Oryctolagus cuniculus: one gene and its partner. The protein of the gene in region 1 purifies or fractionates together with the protein of each later gene. This does not show direct contact. Links are inferred from orthologs where the notes say so. Each region holds a gene or a part of one and is shown on either strand. Other genes may lie near its edges.

Region 1 (7,778 bases):
TTCTTTAAAATTACTCATTATAGTATAAAATTGCTTTATGCATTTAAGGCATATTTCATAATAAAAATGCTAAACATAACTGATACATTGTAGATGGCAGTGCTAGAAGGAAAAAAAGTTGCTACATAATTTCGTGTGCAGTCTGACAGTAAAAACCAAACATATAGAGTAAAAAACACAGATTAGTTTCTCAAAAGAGCTCAATTTCAAGTGCAGCAGTCAAGAATGCTATACTAATATCCCTTTGTTATATTTCCACATAGTAAGTGGATCTTTATCATAAAATGATGAACAAGAGAAAGAACTGTTACCTAAAACTTCGCAATGTTTTGCTATTTTGAAGTAACTAGCATCTTCCCTTCTGGATTAATAAACCATACAAGGAACTAAACGGACGCAGGCCAAGTTGGCAATGTGTGGCCCCCACTTTGGGGGCCAGTTTCCAGCTATTTCCTTGTGTTGTCAAGCTGCATGGTGAGTTGGGTGGATGTTGCTCACTGAGCTAAGCACACCTGTTAGCTCCTAGGTGGGTGGCTCAGGGCTCCACTGAGTGCCATTCTGTCGGTCAGTGCTCAGGTTCTAAGGGAAAGCCACTGGCAATGGAGAGAGACCAGGCTGGTGAGAAGCCGTAGGCTGTACACACTCTTCTGCAGGTCCTCTCTGCTGGGTGGCAGGGCTCTGAGGTTTGAGTGCTCTTTTCGTTCAGAGCTTACAAAGCTTAAACGCTGAGGCTCTCACATAAAATCCCTTAGATTTGTGTTTACCTCTTTAATTTTCCACCATTCCCTGAGATACAACAGGGGAGGGGGAAGAAGACCAGAATGATTTACATTGTAACCACATAGGGCATTGCTTGTAGGTCCCATGCCCTGTCTCTTACTTGGAGGGATGGAGCAGAGGTTTGGGTCTGGTAAAAACACAGGGTAATTAAGGCAGGGCATTTAACGTGGTTCTTGGAATTTCAGGTCAAGGGCAGCAGGAGGGTCAGGTGCTGCTTTTCCAGCCTCACTTCTGCAGTATCCGACACCCCCTCCCCGCTCCCTGCAGCATTTTAATAGGAAACCTTGGATTTACCCAGTTAAAGTGTTCCTCCATTTACGGTTTGCATATGGTGGTGGCCGTAGCGGCAGAAACACGGAGCTTCTTAGATCTGTCTATGGTACGTTTACTGCGATTCTCCCTAAGGTAGAAAGAGCAATACATGCACAGCTGCTGCTCGCAGACGTAAGGTGGGCCACGGTCCAGAGACCCACTGTGGAGTCTGCTTCCTTTCATCATCACTGCTGCTGTACCTCATTCGCACACCACTCCCCGGGGCAGGGTCCAGCCTTTTTCTAGAGAACTCCACCTTAAACTTTATGCATTTTCAGCTGGATGTACTTCCCAGGACAGCATTTGCAGGATGAGCTGCATAATACTAATATTTATTTCAGGAAGGGAATAACTAGCTTTTGATTCAGACCTGAAACACACACTTTTTTAGATGACGGTGATGGACAAAGCTGAACCACCAAGAGCAGCTCTCCAAAGCTCTAAGCCAAAAGCAAAAGTGATTCCCGGCAGCGAGGCACTGCTAAGTTCTGCCCTTGCAAAACAGTCAAAAAATCCTTCCCCAGTCTCCCGGAGCATGGTTCCCTTCCCCCGCCCCAGCAACCAGCCTCCCTTTTCACCGAAGTCTCAAGCTGCGAGTCTCCCTCATTCATTCGTCAAACATTGGCTCGGTCTGACCACACGTTATCCGGCGCCGGGTCTCACCCCGCGCTCCAGGAAGGGTGGGGCGCCCGCTCGCTGGAGCAGGTGCAACGAAGCGGGCTGTGCAGGACTTCTCGACCAGGCCGGCTTTTTTCGAGGGCTTGTTCAGGGCCAGATGCCTCACCTTCGGCAGGTGCGCGCGGGAGTCTGGCCCCCGGGCCTGGGCCTTCCCCCGGTTCCCAAAGGAGCAGTCCCCACCTGCCCCGAAGGAACCCGCTAGAGAGCGAGCTCTCCCCGCCGCCCTCGGGTCAGGGGTAAGCTCAGGCGGCAGCTCAGGCTCCGCTCGGCTCCTCCCCTTCCTCTCTTCAGTTCTGACGCGGCCGTAGAGGCGGCCGCGGTGGTGGCGGCGGCGGCAGCAGCGAGTACCGCGGCCCGAGGCGCACCCACCCGCTCCCGGCTCCCCGACTTCCTCTTCCCTTCGAGCGTCATCAGAGCGCGCCGGAGTCGCCCAGGGCGGGGTGGCTAGAAAGGGAAGAAAAAAAAAAAAAGGCCAGCGAGGAAGCCTCAGAGCGGAAAGGAAAGGGAGGGGGAGAGGAGAGCGGTTGCTAGGTGACTTGCGTCATCGGTCGGCGCCGCTCTCCTCCCGCCCCTCTCTCTGGAGTGAGGCGAGAGCCCCGCACAGAGCGAGGGAGACAGCGAGCAGAGCTCCGGCGCTACTGCGATCGCCGCCGAGAGAGTGAGAGCGAGGGAGCATCGGAGGACCCAGCCCCCGTGCCGTGGCCGCCGCCGAGAACCTCGGCCCCAACCTGGGCCAGCGAGAGCCGCGGCCGCCCTCCTCTCCCCCCCTCACCTTCCCGGCCGGCGGCGGCGGCTGCACACGCCGGAGCCGGAGCCGGAGCCCGAGCCGGAGCCGGCGGCTGGGGGGCAGGGAGACGGCTCCCGCGGCGGGCCGGGACTTGGGAGCTGCTCCGCCGTGAGAGGACCTTGAGCCGGGGGCCGGAGCTTTTGCCTCGTCCCGGGGCGAGGGGCGAGGGACCCCCGAGGTGTAGGGAGGGGGGTCCCAGCCGCAGCGACACATGCGGGAACCGGGAGCGGGGGCGGCGCCGAGCGGAGCCGGCCGGGTCCCCAGCCTCGCGGCCGTCTCGGCCACCCGCACGGGGCCGTAGCATCTTGCCCCGGAGTGTATGAGCCGGGAGGGCCCCGAGCTCAGCCACCACCCCCCGGCCGGGGGGGCGGGGACCCCAATGTGAAGCGGCGGCTGGGGCGGCGGGCAGAGCAGGACCGGCGCCGCCGTCCTCTCCTCACCCACCCCTTCCCCTTCGCCCCCTCCGGGGGGAGGGGGTCTTTTCCTTCGGCCTGTCGCCGGCCCCCCGGCTCCTCGGCCCGGACTCCGGGAGGAGTTCTTAGAGCCCCCTCCCCCGCCCCAGCCCCCAGGGCGGCGGGGCCGGGGGGGATCCGGGGGGCCGGCCGCAGCCTCCACCCAGAGGAAACTTTTATAAGAACAAATTCTGGAGCCTCCCAGACGTGACTGTCCCGGGACCAGTGGCCCTGGACGGGCAGAAATCACAGCCTGAAGAGACCCAGGAAGAGGAAAAGAGGTGATCGGGGCCGCCGCCTCCTCTCCCCCCACCCCGGCGGCGCGGAAGAGACCCGGGTGGCCGCCTGCTTGGGCGACACGAGCAGCGATCGCTTCTTCCTCTGTAGCGAGCGCGCCGGAGCCTGCCGCAGTCCGGAGCAGGAAGGGAACCAGCCCGCTCTCTCAGCGCCACGGCTCTTCTCTAAAGTGTGAGTGGTCCTTCCGGAGAGGGGCCGAGGGGGGGGCCGGGGGCGGGAGGATGCCGCAGAGGTTTGTGCAGATGTTTTCCAGCGGCGCGGGGAGTGTGTGTGCGCCCCTTCTTCGCACAGGACGGCTCTGGGGTTTGTTGCCGTTGAGCTTGGACGAGCAATGCCAAGCGTGCAGGTTTCTCCAAGGAGGAGTTAGTTGTGTTCTCTTCCGGAGTGGGAAAGATTGCACCTCTCCGGGCAGGAGTTGGCAGAAGGGAAGTCGAGGAAGGCAGAGCAGGCGTGCACACAAAGGACATCGCTGTGCTCGCCCTTTTCCTGGTGGCAGGGACTGTGGGATGGCGCCGGAGGAGTTTTGTGTAGGGGAGGACCTCTCCCGTGGGTTCCCCCGTGCACCTCTGAAAGTCCAGTTCCTTGATTTGTTCGCAGGCTACCTCGAGGGGAAGCCCGGGTTTCATTTCCATACCTCTCAGTACAGAAGTTTTTAACCTTCTCTTTTCCTGCGTCCAGTTCCTCTGCATGTCAGGAGGACACTTTAACAGATCGCAGTTACTGGGGAAATTCTGGCTTCTTAGGAATCACAGCTTATTTGAGGCAGAGCATTTACTGCATAAACCATTTTATATAGGTTGTTACTCTTCCACCCAAATCCCACATGTGCCCTCTGTCTCTCTCTCTCTCTCTTTTTTGAGTAACAGGTTATAAATGACAGCACTGTTTTATTGGGAGAATGGGTTGAGACTTTGTTGTTTGATTTAGCTTTACTTTAACGATTTAGGAGGAACCTATGAAGCCATAATTCTTACAAGAATGGCTTTTCCTTGCATTATTTTAAAGTTGAAGTCTCTCAAATCTTTGACTCGATTTCAAATGTCCCCTCAGCGTGCCAAGTTAGAGGTACACAGAAGTAGTTAGCATTTCATGTATACAGACCTGGAGGGTTAGGCATCAGGGGGGAATTTTAGGTAACTAGACCCAGACAGTTCTATAGTGAGAGTTATGGTGCCTCCAGACCAGTAGCTGTGGATGGCCTTTCTGAAGTCATTGCTGAGAGATGCTTTGTGGGAATGAATGTATGCCCGGGGTTATCCACCCTAAATTCTCCACTCAGGATCCCGATGAAATTTTTAAAAAAACCTTTTCAGACTTAATGTTTTGACTCTGTACCACTTCTTTTTTAAAGTAATAAGTTCTGCAGATTTATTAGCCTCTGTCTGATGTAAGAATTCATGCATGTATCCCAAACTTACCTCCTTAGGCTAAAAGATGCATCACTTAAGAGCTTGCGTTTTGAGAAATACTAGAATAACCCCAGGTTTCTTGCCTGGTTATTCTTGTTTGCCATCATTTCCCCCCAGCTTTCTGTCTGAGAACTGTTTCTTCCATTTCTTTGACCACTGCCCTTCTCTGGACCTTCTCCAAGCATTTGTTTTTCTGTAGGTGCCTTGTTCTCATTACGCTTTTGTAAGGAACCTTGAAGTCTGTTCTAAGTGGGTACCGACATAAAACGTTGCATAGTGGATTGAATATTAGATTTAGAAGCAGCCAGGTATCTCTGGATGTGTCATCTTTTGTGACTTCGAGTAAGTCACCTTTTCTGTTTCTCACAGATGGACCAGAGAAAAAGCTGGTCTTACATAGACAGCTTTTTGGGAAGGAGAGAGGACAAACCAACAAAGCAAAGTTTGTGGATAATGCCGAGTTTAGGACCTATTTTGATTGCTTTCACTATAGATAAGTTAAGAATGATGGTAATATTTTAATATGTATTTGGGTAGAAATGAGGAAGTATTGGGGGTCTCTGCCTTTGAAGCACTTTTACTTAGGGGTGGAAGAGACAGTTATACAAATGGAACAAGACTACAGGAGAACAGGCCGGTATTAATCTGAGACCACCACGTGTGCCATTGCATTATCCAGTTCTTGCTAACAAGCAGGCTGCTTTTTAAAGGAGAGACTTATTTTGGCTCACAGCTCTGGAGGTGCTAGGTCTGGGGGCTCCTCTGATGGTGGCTTTCTTGTTGGCAGAGCATGCTGCTGCCAGAGGCGGCAGTGAGCACAGCTGTTTGTATTTCACTCCCAGGGTTTACCCTCTGTAGCATAGTTGAATCAAGTTCCCACCCTCTTAGTATTGCTGCCATATGATTTTGGGGGTTAAACTTCTACATGAAATCTCCCCTCCCACCTTGGGGGTGGGAATGGGGTGCTGGTGGTGTTTGATACCTGATAGGAAGTGAATGTAATTTTTTTTTGTTAGGGAAATGTTGGTTTCAGAGCAACTTGGGGTGTCTGAACCAAATCTGGGAAGATCTCTTAGGAAGAAAAGAGTTTGTGGAATTTAAGACTTTTGGAATTGGAAGGTATAAGGCACAGATGTCGTTAGGTAGGTAGTCTGGTGGCAATACTGACAGAGGGAGATTGTTGAGTGGGGTTAAAGTCAGAGTTTGTGTAGGGGCATGGTTAAAGACCCAAGAAGCAGTTGAGAACAGTATTCCTGAGATGATTGGGTAGAAATAACATTTAAGAGCAAAGGTATTGTGCCTGGATTAGGATTTTGTTTTTCCAGGGAAATTAAGGCTATACAGAAGGAATGGTGAAAAAGAAGATGTTTCCAGTATTTTGATATAGTGCTAGTGGTATTTATAAAAAAGAATTTAGAAATAGGGTACCATACTTTGTTTTGAACATCAAATTTTAGGGTTAAAACTGAATACCGATGCAGTTTCAAGACAACAGAAATAGTTTAACAAGTGATATGCTGAAAATGTGGAATTGGGTGTCATTTTTATATTTAGGGTTATGAGAATCCTGATGGGGAGGGAGGAGCTGAAAAAATAAATGTTTTCACGTGAGGGGAAAATCTGTAAAAGTAAATGGAGATGTAGCAAGAACAGGGCATGGATGAGACTCTGCGTAAAATAAATATTTTAAAAGTGGATGTGAAGGAGCTGGTGCTGTGGCTTAGTATGCTAAGCCTCTGCCTACAGCACCAGCGTCGTATATGGGTGCTAGTTCTTGTCCTGGCTGCAACTCTTCCAATCCAGCTCTCTGTTGATGGCCTGGGAAAGCAGTAAAGGATGGTCCAAGTCCTTGGGCCCCTGCACCCACATGGGAGACCCAGAAGAAGCGCCTGGTTCCTGGCTTTGGATCAGTCCAGCTTTGGCCTTTGTGGCCATTTGGGGAGTGCACCAGTGGATGGAAGACCTTCCTCTCTCTCTGTAACTCTGTCTCTCAAATAAATAAAAAACTAAGAAAAAAAATGAATGAGAATTGAGTCAAAAACGGAGGAGTAGGGACTAGTGTTGTGGGTTAGGCCACCACCTGGGACACTGGAATCCCATATGGGAGCACTGGAGTCCTGGCTGCTGGATTTCCTTTTTTTTTTTTTTTTTTTTTTAATCTTTATTTTATTTATTTAAAAGACAGAGTTAGAGAGAGAGAGAGAGAGATCTTCCATCTGCTGTTTTACTCCCCAGATAGCTGCAAGGGCCAGAGCTGTGCTGATCTGAAGCCAGGAGCCAGGAGCTTCTTCCTGGTCTCCCACGTGGGTGCAGGGGCCCAAGGACTTGGGCCATTTTCTACTGCTTTCCCAGGCCACAGCAGAGAGCTGGATCGGAATTGGGGTAGCTGGGACTCGAACCAGTGCCCATATGGGATGCTGCATTTCAGGCTAGGGCTTTAACCCGCTGTTCCGCAGTGCTGGCCCCAGCTGCTGCATTTCCAATCCAGCTTCCTGCTAATACACCTAGAAAGGCAACAGAATATGGCCAAAGTGCCTGGGCCTCTGCCACCCATGTGGGAGACCTGGATGGGGTTCCTAGTTCATGGATTTGGCCTGGTACAGGCCTGGCCATTGCAGCCATTTGAGGAGTAAACCAGGGGTTGGAAGATCTTGCATTCTCTCTCTCTCTCTCTCGCTCTCTCTGGGTGTGTTGTTCTGCCTTTCAAATAAATAAATGAAAAAAGGGAGAGAGGAGAAGACATACTATTTTTGTCCCAGGGAATATGATTCTGTTTTTGAAACAGCTACAAGTTTTGAAGTATACAGATCTCTTCAGATTAAGTTCAGAAGAATATATAGCATTTCATATTTATTTCCTAAATTAATGTTTTTAAACTTTGCCTTGTATTACTCTTTTTTTTTTAAGATATTTTATTTATTTCTTTGAGAGGTAGAGTTACAGACAGTGAGCGGGAGAGACAGAGAGAAAGGTCTTCTCTCCACTGGTTCACTCCCCAGATGGCCACGACAGCTAGAGCTGTGCCGATCCGAAGCCAGGAGCCAGCAGCCAGCAGCTTCCTCC
Region 2 (7,678 bases), on another chromosome or scaffold:
TTGAATTGTCTGGTTGTTTTAGAGATAAACAGTGAAGATATCAAACTTTTAAATGGCTTTTAAAATTTTAAAGTAAACTTTTTATGTTATATAAATTTAACATGGAACCATGATTTTTTTTTTAAGATTTTTTTTTTTTTTTTGGAAGGCAGAGTTACAGAGAGGCAGAGGCAGAGAGAGAGGTCTTCCATCCACTGGTCCACTCCCCAAAAGGCCGCAATGGCTGATGCTGTGCTGATCCAGAACCAGGAGCCAGGAGCTGCCTCCTGGTCTCTCACGTGGGTGCAGGGACCCAAGCAACTGGGCCATCTTGCACTCCCTCTGAGGCCATAGCAGAGAGCTAAATTGGTAGTGGAGCCGTTGGGTCTCAAACTGGTGCCCATAATCATTTAGTTAATGATGGATATTCTTTCTGTTTCTAGGTGTGCCAAAGAATCGGCACATAAGGACTTCAAAAAGGCAGTTGGCGCCTTTGCTGTAACTTACGATCCAGAAAATTACCAGCTTGTCATTTTGGTGAGTGTTTTTGAGTTGTCTTATGGTGTATTTCATTTGTGGTATTTGTTTTGATAATAATCTTGTTAACTTATATAATTTAGTCCATCAATGAAGTCACCTCAAAGCGAGCACATATGCTGATTGACATGCACTTTCGGAGTCTGCGCACTAAGTTGTCTCTGATACTGAGAAATGAAGAAGCCAGTAAGCAGCTAGAGGTATGACACTTTCCCTAGCACTGCTTTTAAGACTATCTGGAAACAATAACTATACAGTTCCAAAATGAATAGGGGGAAGTTTGGCATTTATTTATCATTTGTTAACAATTCTTTATAGTAGAATATTGTACAAAAGCATAATCATACTAAAGTTTTCATGCCTAAGGTTTCCAGATTAAGTAGAAGTTTATGTATATTAAGGGGCTTCTAATCAGTTCACTTTTACTAGAAGTTAGAGCTGCTAATAAAATGAGGCAATATTTCTTCCATATAATGTTATCATTAAAGTACTAGAGAGTATTTAAATATCTAATCATTCCTTTCATTGTGTATGTTTATCTCTGTTTAAAAGGGTATAGAACTTCATCATTCTAATTGGTTGTCACTCTTTAAAACTCCTGTCTTCAGATTCCTGGCAGAGGCTATTTCCCTAACTTACTATTTCGTCTCTTAAGGTGCATTTTATCTACTTTTATTAATTCTCCAATAATTTCCATCACCATACATTTATTTTCATTGATAACTATCTAGTATGTCCATCCATTGCCATAGAAACTTGATTTAGTTTAATGTGCCAACTGAAGTATATTACTGTCAAACTCAGGAGTTCCTCATCATTCATTTTGATAGAGGAACAACATCATTCAGTTGAAATAGTAAAGAAAAAAAAAGGAGTTCTAAACTGCATTTTAAAGGAGAAGGTAGTCAAAGCTACACTGTAAAATTTTCTGCCTTCCAACTTGATGTGTGAGTGCTGAACTCTTAATAGGAGAGGAAAAATTTAAATCTCCTTTTGCTACTTTGTTTTCCTTCTGGCCATGGGGAGTCTTATTTAATTGTTTTTGCTTTCATTCTTTCTTAATGTCCCTATGTTCATAATTTTGTGGTTTCTTTAGCAATTCTCTCATAACTTTTAGAGCAGAGCAGCCTCTTTGCTCGTTGTGAGTATTAAAGGAAATATATTTCTATGCCTCCTCTTACATATCTAATTCTTAAATGATCTGTAATCTTATCTTTGGCTTATCATTTATCAATGAAGTATCAATGAAAAGAATGAATCAGATTAATGAACCAGGACTCAAAAAATATGACCTTTTGAAATTCCTAGGAGTATTTCATATGTTTTATAGTTAATAAAAAGATGTTTTATTTGTAAAATTGTTTATACTAGATATGTGCATTTATTCAAATTACCAGGTGCGTTGAATAATGAGAGACTAGTATGCATGCCTATCTTTTGTCACTACTAATATTAAAGAGAACCACATATACTTTATGAGAAGTTTGCATTTTTCAACATGAGCCACTAATATGTTTGGTTTTCATTAATAGCATGCTAGAACTAAACATGAAATTTTGATACTCTTGTTAAACATGATTATCCACAAGTTTGGGGTGGCAGTGTAACTTAGTTTCATCACCACTGAATGTTTGAAAGAGCTCATTGTACTTAATCGTGGATCTATATCACTAGGTCTTACAGACTCTGATCTTATTTTAGGTTTCAGATGCAAACTAGGATTCCTTTTAAATCTTTGACATGATCTATGATCATTCATTTTTAACTTCTCTACCAACAAATGTTATGGTTCCTTTCTTGAATTTGGGGAGGAAGAGAGGGTTTTAATGTCATCACTTCATCAGAGAGATGCTTAGATCACAGTACCATTGATAAATTATTAAAAAGCACTTTTTAAAAAACATACATTTATATCCTTTAATAAATAAGAAAAAATTTTATAAAGATGTATTGTGACAGGGAGTCTGTCAGACCAAATGAGCTGGGTTTTATTTGAGCATAATATATTCTGCTTCTTAGTTACTATGTTGTTGATGTCATTACTTAACTAAAGCAGACTTACAAATAGGTTTTTGAAAGTAACTTTGGAAAATTGTCAACAAGCTCTTTCCTATTAACAAAAATTTATCAAATAGTATAGACATTAAGTAACCTAAAAAGTATTTACACTGTGGGAGATAGTTTCCAAAATTAGTTTTCTACTGAAACTAATTTACTGGCCCCTGATATACAGGGTCATGATAACTTACATGGCTGACCTGATTACAATTGTCTTATTAATTGACGAAGCATATTCATCAGATATACATTTCTCTTCAGAGTTCAAGGCAGCTTGCCTCAAGGTTTCATGAACAGTTTATTGTACGAGAAGATCTGATGGGTCTAGCTATTGGTACTCATGGTGCTAATATTCAGCAAGCTAGAAAAGTACCTGGGGTCACTGCTATTGATCTCGATGAAGATACCTGCACATTTCATATTTATGGAGAGGTAATTATTTTGGTAAATAATTTTTTCTACCTCAAATGAGTATTTCAGCTGGCTGATTTTTGTCATCAAACTTTCCCTTGTTTTTATTAGGATCAAGATGCAGTTAAAAAGGCTAGAAGTTTTCTTGAATTTGCTGAAGATGTCATACAAGTTCCAAGGAACTTAGTAGGTGAGTGAGAAATATCTGTTAACATGTACCAGAAAAACAAAATTTACACAAACAATGTATATGCCAAGGAAATTCATTTCCCCTTACTCAAGGGTATTATTTAATTGAAATATGATTTTTAAAGTATGGTCTGTTGCTATAGTGTACCAAAAATGTTTGATCAGTGTAATACTCAAAAGATTATATTTTCAGAAGATGTGCAAAAGAGAGTGCTTTGCTAGATCAAACCTACTAATGCCTGAAAGGATACATTTTACTTATCCTTCTTGCTCTATATATATTTAAGATTATTTATTTTATTTAAAAGAGATACAGAAAGATAAGGGGGAGGGAGAAGAAGAGAGAGAAAAATATCTTTCTCCTACTTGTTTGCTTCCCAGATGGTCCCAAGGGGCCAGGGCTGGGCCAAGCCAAAGCCAGGAGCCTAGAGCTTCTTCTAGGGCTCTTACGTGGATGGGAAGGGCCAAACACTTGGACCATCTTCTGCTGCTTTCCCAGGCCATTAGGAAGGAGCTGGATTGAAAGTGGAACAGCCAGGACACCGAATGGTACCAATATGGGATGCTAGTATCGCAGGCAGTGGCTTTACCCACTTTACCACAATGCTGGCCTCTTTATCTTACGATTTTACAAAATGAATGGAGACTTTCTAATTTGGACTAGATTGGTATTTGATCTCCTTCATGGTGCTATAAAGTGATAATATTCATTTTATGTTTTTAAAGATTTACTTGAAAGTCTGTTATATAGAGGGAGAGACATAGAGGCAGAGAAATCTTCATCTGGTGGTTCACTCCCCAGATGGCTGCAACAGCTAGGGCTGAGCCAGGCTGAAGCCAGGATACAGGAGGTTCTTCCAGGTCTCTCACATTGTGGCAGGGTCCCAAACACTTGGGCCCTCTGCTGCTGCTTTTCCCAGGCTGTTACCAGGGAGCTGGATTGCAAGTGGAGGAGCTGAGACTTGAACCACCACCCATATGGGATGCTGGTGTTGCAGGGGCAGCTTCACCCTCTACGCCACAATGCTTGCTCCAGTAAAAATCATTTTAATTATCTCAAGGTTGAAGATCTGAATGTACCTAATATCAGATGTCTCTGAAACTTCCTGCAAAGCCAATGGCAGTTCTTCATTTTGACTTGAGTATTGTTTCATGACCATTACCACCTTGAATATCAGCAAATATCTAGGAAATTCTCACCAATATTCCCAAGTGGTATTGGTATCTTTAGTAGATCTTGTCAGAATCAGATGTATTTTCCTCAAGAAAGCTACATAGGTTTTATGTTTTTAGTTTATAAATAGAATTGGAATATGCTACCTATACATTTTTAAAGGATTTATTTATGTATTTGAAAGACAGAGTAACTGGATCACTCCCCAGATGGCTGCAGTAGCCAGAGCTGGGCCAGCCCAGAGTCAGGAGCCAGGAACTCTATCCTGGACTTCCAAATGGGTAGCAGGGGCCCAAGTGCTTACATAATCTCCCATTGCCTTCCCAGGCAGGAAGCTGGGTCAGAAGCAGAGTAACCAGGGCTTGAACTGGCGCTCTGATATGGGATGCTGCTGTTGTAAGCAATGGCTTATTTTCACTGCACCACAACACTGACCCCTGTCAATACCTTTTATCTTTTTACTTGAGATCTTGGCTGATTGTAGAAAGTGATGTGTGGTCTTACTATGTATTTTGTTTACATAATTTCAGTGCCACTAAGCCTGCTTTTGGGTAGCATACAAGGGAACTTCATGTAAAAAAATGGAATTAAAAGATAAAAATAAAAAAGTTTTATTTCTTAATGAGTTCCATCAAGCTTGAAACACTTTTGTAAGCAATGGTATCAACCATTTTATATCATCCCTTAAAGAACTGAGGGTACTGAGAATTTAACCATGTCAGTGAAATCTTATATACCTGCAGAGAATTGGATGCCCTTTAAAGATGGTTTAAGATTGGGAAACAAAAAAGTCAGAAGGAGTGAAATTAGGACTGTGAAGTGAATGCCTAATGATTTTCCTTTGAAACTCTCACAAAATTGTCCTTGTTTGAGAGGAATGAGCAGGCGCATTGTCATGGTGGAGAAAGACTGGTCAAGCTTCCAAGGTGTTTTTTTGGCTAAAACTTTGTCTCAAAGCACTCTTAATAAGCAGATGTTGTTGTCATTCTTTGTCCCTCCAGAGAGTTGACAAGCAGAATGTCTTGAGCACCCCAAAACCTGTTGTCATGACCTTTGTTCTTGACCAGTCTCTTTGCTTTGATTGGACCATTTCTACCTCTTGAAAACCATTGCATTGATTGTGCTTTGTTGTCAGAACCATACTAATAAAGCCATGTTTCATCTCCTCTTATGATTCATCCAACAAATGCTTCAGGATCTTAGTGCCACTTGTTTGTTTCTTTTAAAAAATGTATTTATTTGAAAGGCAGAGTTACAGAGAGGCAGAGGCTGAGAGAGAGAGGTCTTCCATCTACTGGTTCACTCCCCAGATGGCCGCAACAGCCGGAGCTGTGCCGGTCCGAAGCCAGAAGCCGGGAGCTTCTTCAGGGTCTTCCACGCAGGTGCAGGGGCCCAAGGAGTTGGACCATCTTCTACTGTTTCCCAGGCTATAGCAGAGAACGGCAGGACAGCCAGAACTTTCACTGGCGCCCATATAGGATTCCGGCACTGCTGCAGGTGGCGGCTTTACCCGCTGTGCCACAGCACTAGCCCTGCCACTTGTTTCATATTTCCATTGAGGGCTCTGCCCTTTAACTTTTGAGTCAAGAGTTGTATAAACTGAACCTTTTTTATTTTTAAAGTTTTGTTTTTATTTTGACGTATTTTGCATATACCTGACCATTATATATAAAAACGTATCAGGAATAATAAGACAAACATCTGTAAAATACCCCATATGTAATGTTTTTTGTGTATAAAACACAGATATTCTTTTTTTTAAAAGCTTTTATTTAATGAATGCAAATTTCATAGGTACAACTTTAGGAATATAGTGGTTCTTCCCATTGCCCCTCTCCTCCCCCCTCCTACTCCCTCTCCCATCCCATTCTTCATTAAGATTCATTTTTAATTAACTTTATATACAGAAGACCAACTCTATGCTAAGTAAAGATTTCAACAGTTTGCACCCACATACACACACACAACATATAAAGTACTGTTTGAGAACAAGTTTTGCAGTTAATTCTCATAGTACAACTCATTGAGAACAGAGGTCCTACATTGGGGTTTAAGTGCACAGTGACTCCTGTTGTTAATTTAACAATTAACACTCTTATGTATGATGTCAGTAATCACTCGAGGCTCTTGCCATGAGCTGCCAAGGCTATGGAAGCCTTTTGTGACCACAAACTCCGGAACTGAACCAATTTAAGTCTGTGGTGTTCGCTGTTGTTTTTGTTGTTCATCATTGATCCTCTAGCTAGAGCATGAATAACATTAATTTTGTCCTCACAAATAAATTGATGTGGATGATTTGCCACCACCGTAGGCTTCATCTTTCAACATCATCTTGTTTCTTCTTAGTGTGAGTTATCCTAGGGAGGATGTTATGGCACAGTGGATTTAAGCCACTACTTCGAATGCTGGTATGAGTCCAGGCTGCTCCACTGCTGATCCAGCTTCTTTCTCATGAATCCTGGTAGACAGCAGATAATGGATTAAGTGCTTGGGTCCATGCCACCCACTTGAGGGAACCAGATGGAGTTCTGGGCTTCTGGCTTTGGCACAGCCCAGGCTGTTGCAGTCATTTGCGGAGTAAACCAGCAGATGGAAAATACTTTTCTTGTCACTCTGCCTTTCAAGTAGATGAAAAAAACATTTTCAAATGAGTTCTCCATTTCCAAATTTCTAATTCTTTTAGGACATTATCCCCACAAATCTTTCATAAAGCATCAGTGATGTCACCATTCTTCCACCAAAAACTTCATCATGAATTTGATGTTTGTATCTCAGTTTTAGCAGAATTCATGTTGCTCTGATAAAGACTCTTTAAATTTGTGTCTTATCCTTCTTAATGCCTCAAACTAAATTCTGATCAGATATTTTATAGCAAGTTAGTACAAATTTATTTTGGTGTAAAGAAGTTGAAGATCTTGCCTAATTTTTAATAATATACATTTTCTATGAACTCTTTGAAGATCCCCTCGTAAAATCATAAACATTTTCCTATGCAATTAGCATAACACCAGAAACAATACTTTTCTCAAAAAAACCTAGCTCAAATAGAATGGATTTTTTTTTAATTACCAACAGACAGAAACTTGTTATCAGTTTTATTGAAGTTTGTAGTATGGCATGATTGTAGAGGGAAGTGCCTGGGCATTTGAGTTAGATCTAGATTTTGGTCTTACTTCATTCATTTTTCAGTATTTGTGCGACTTTTGCCAGTTGTTTTAGCTCCTCTTGGTGTTCTGTTCTTCACTTGTCAAACAAATATGATCATAGCATACATCTCACAGAGTTGTAATAATTAAATGGGAAGATTATCCATGTATCTATTTGTGTAAA

The links.
Region 2: the proteins of FBXW7 (region 1) and FMR1 purify together in Homo sapiens (affinity purification with mass spectrometry, with the first as the bait; 3 studies listed by BioGRID). This does not show direct contact. The link is inferred for Oryctolagus cuniculus from reciprocal best matches to the Homo sapiens genes FBXW7 and FMR1.

The regions. Positions count from the first base shown.
Region 1 is NC_091439.1:11,997,238-12,005,015, forward strand, and holds the start of FBXW7 (F-box/WD repeat-containing protein 7), read left to right. Parts: upstream 1-2,958; 5' UTR 2,959-3,477; intron 3,478-7,778. UniProt on the Homo sapiens protein: Substrate recognition component of a SCF (SKP1-CUL1-F-box protein) E3 ubiquitin-protein ligase complex which mediates the ubiquitination and subsequent proteasomal degradation of target proteins.
Region 2 is NC_091453.1:126,458,152-126,465,829, forward strand, and holds part of FMR1 (fragile X messenger ribonucleoprotein 1), read left to right. Parts: intron 1-422; coding exon 423-516; intron 517-599; coding exon 600-716; intron 717-2,835; coding exon 2,836-3,006; intron 3,007-3,096; coding exon 3,097-3,175; intron 3,176-7,678.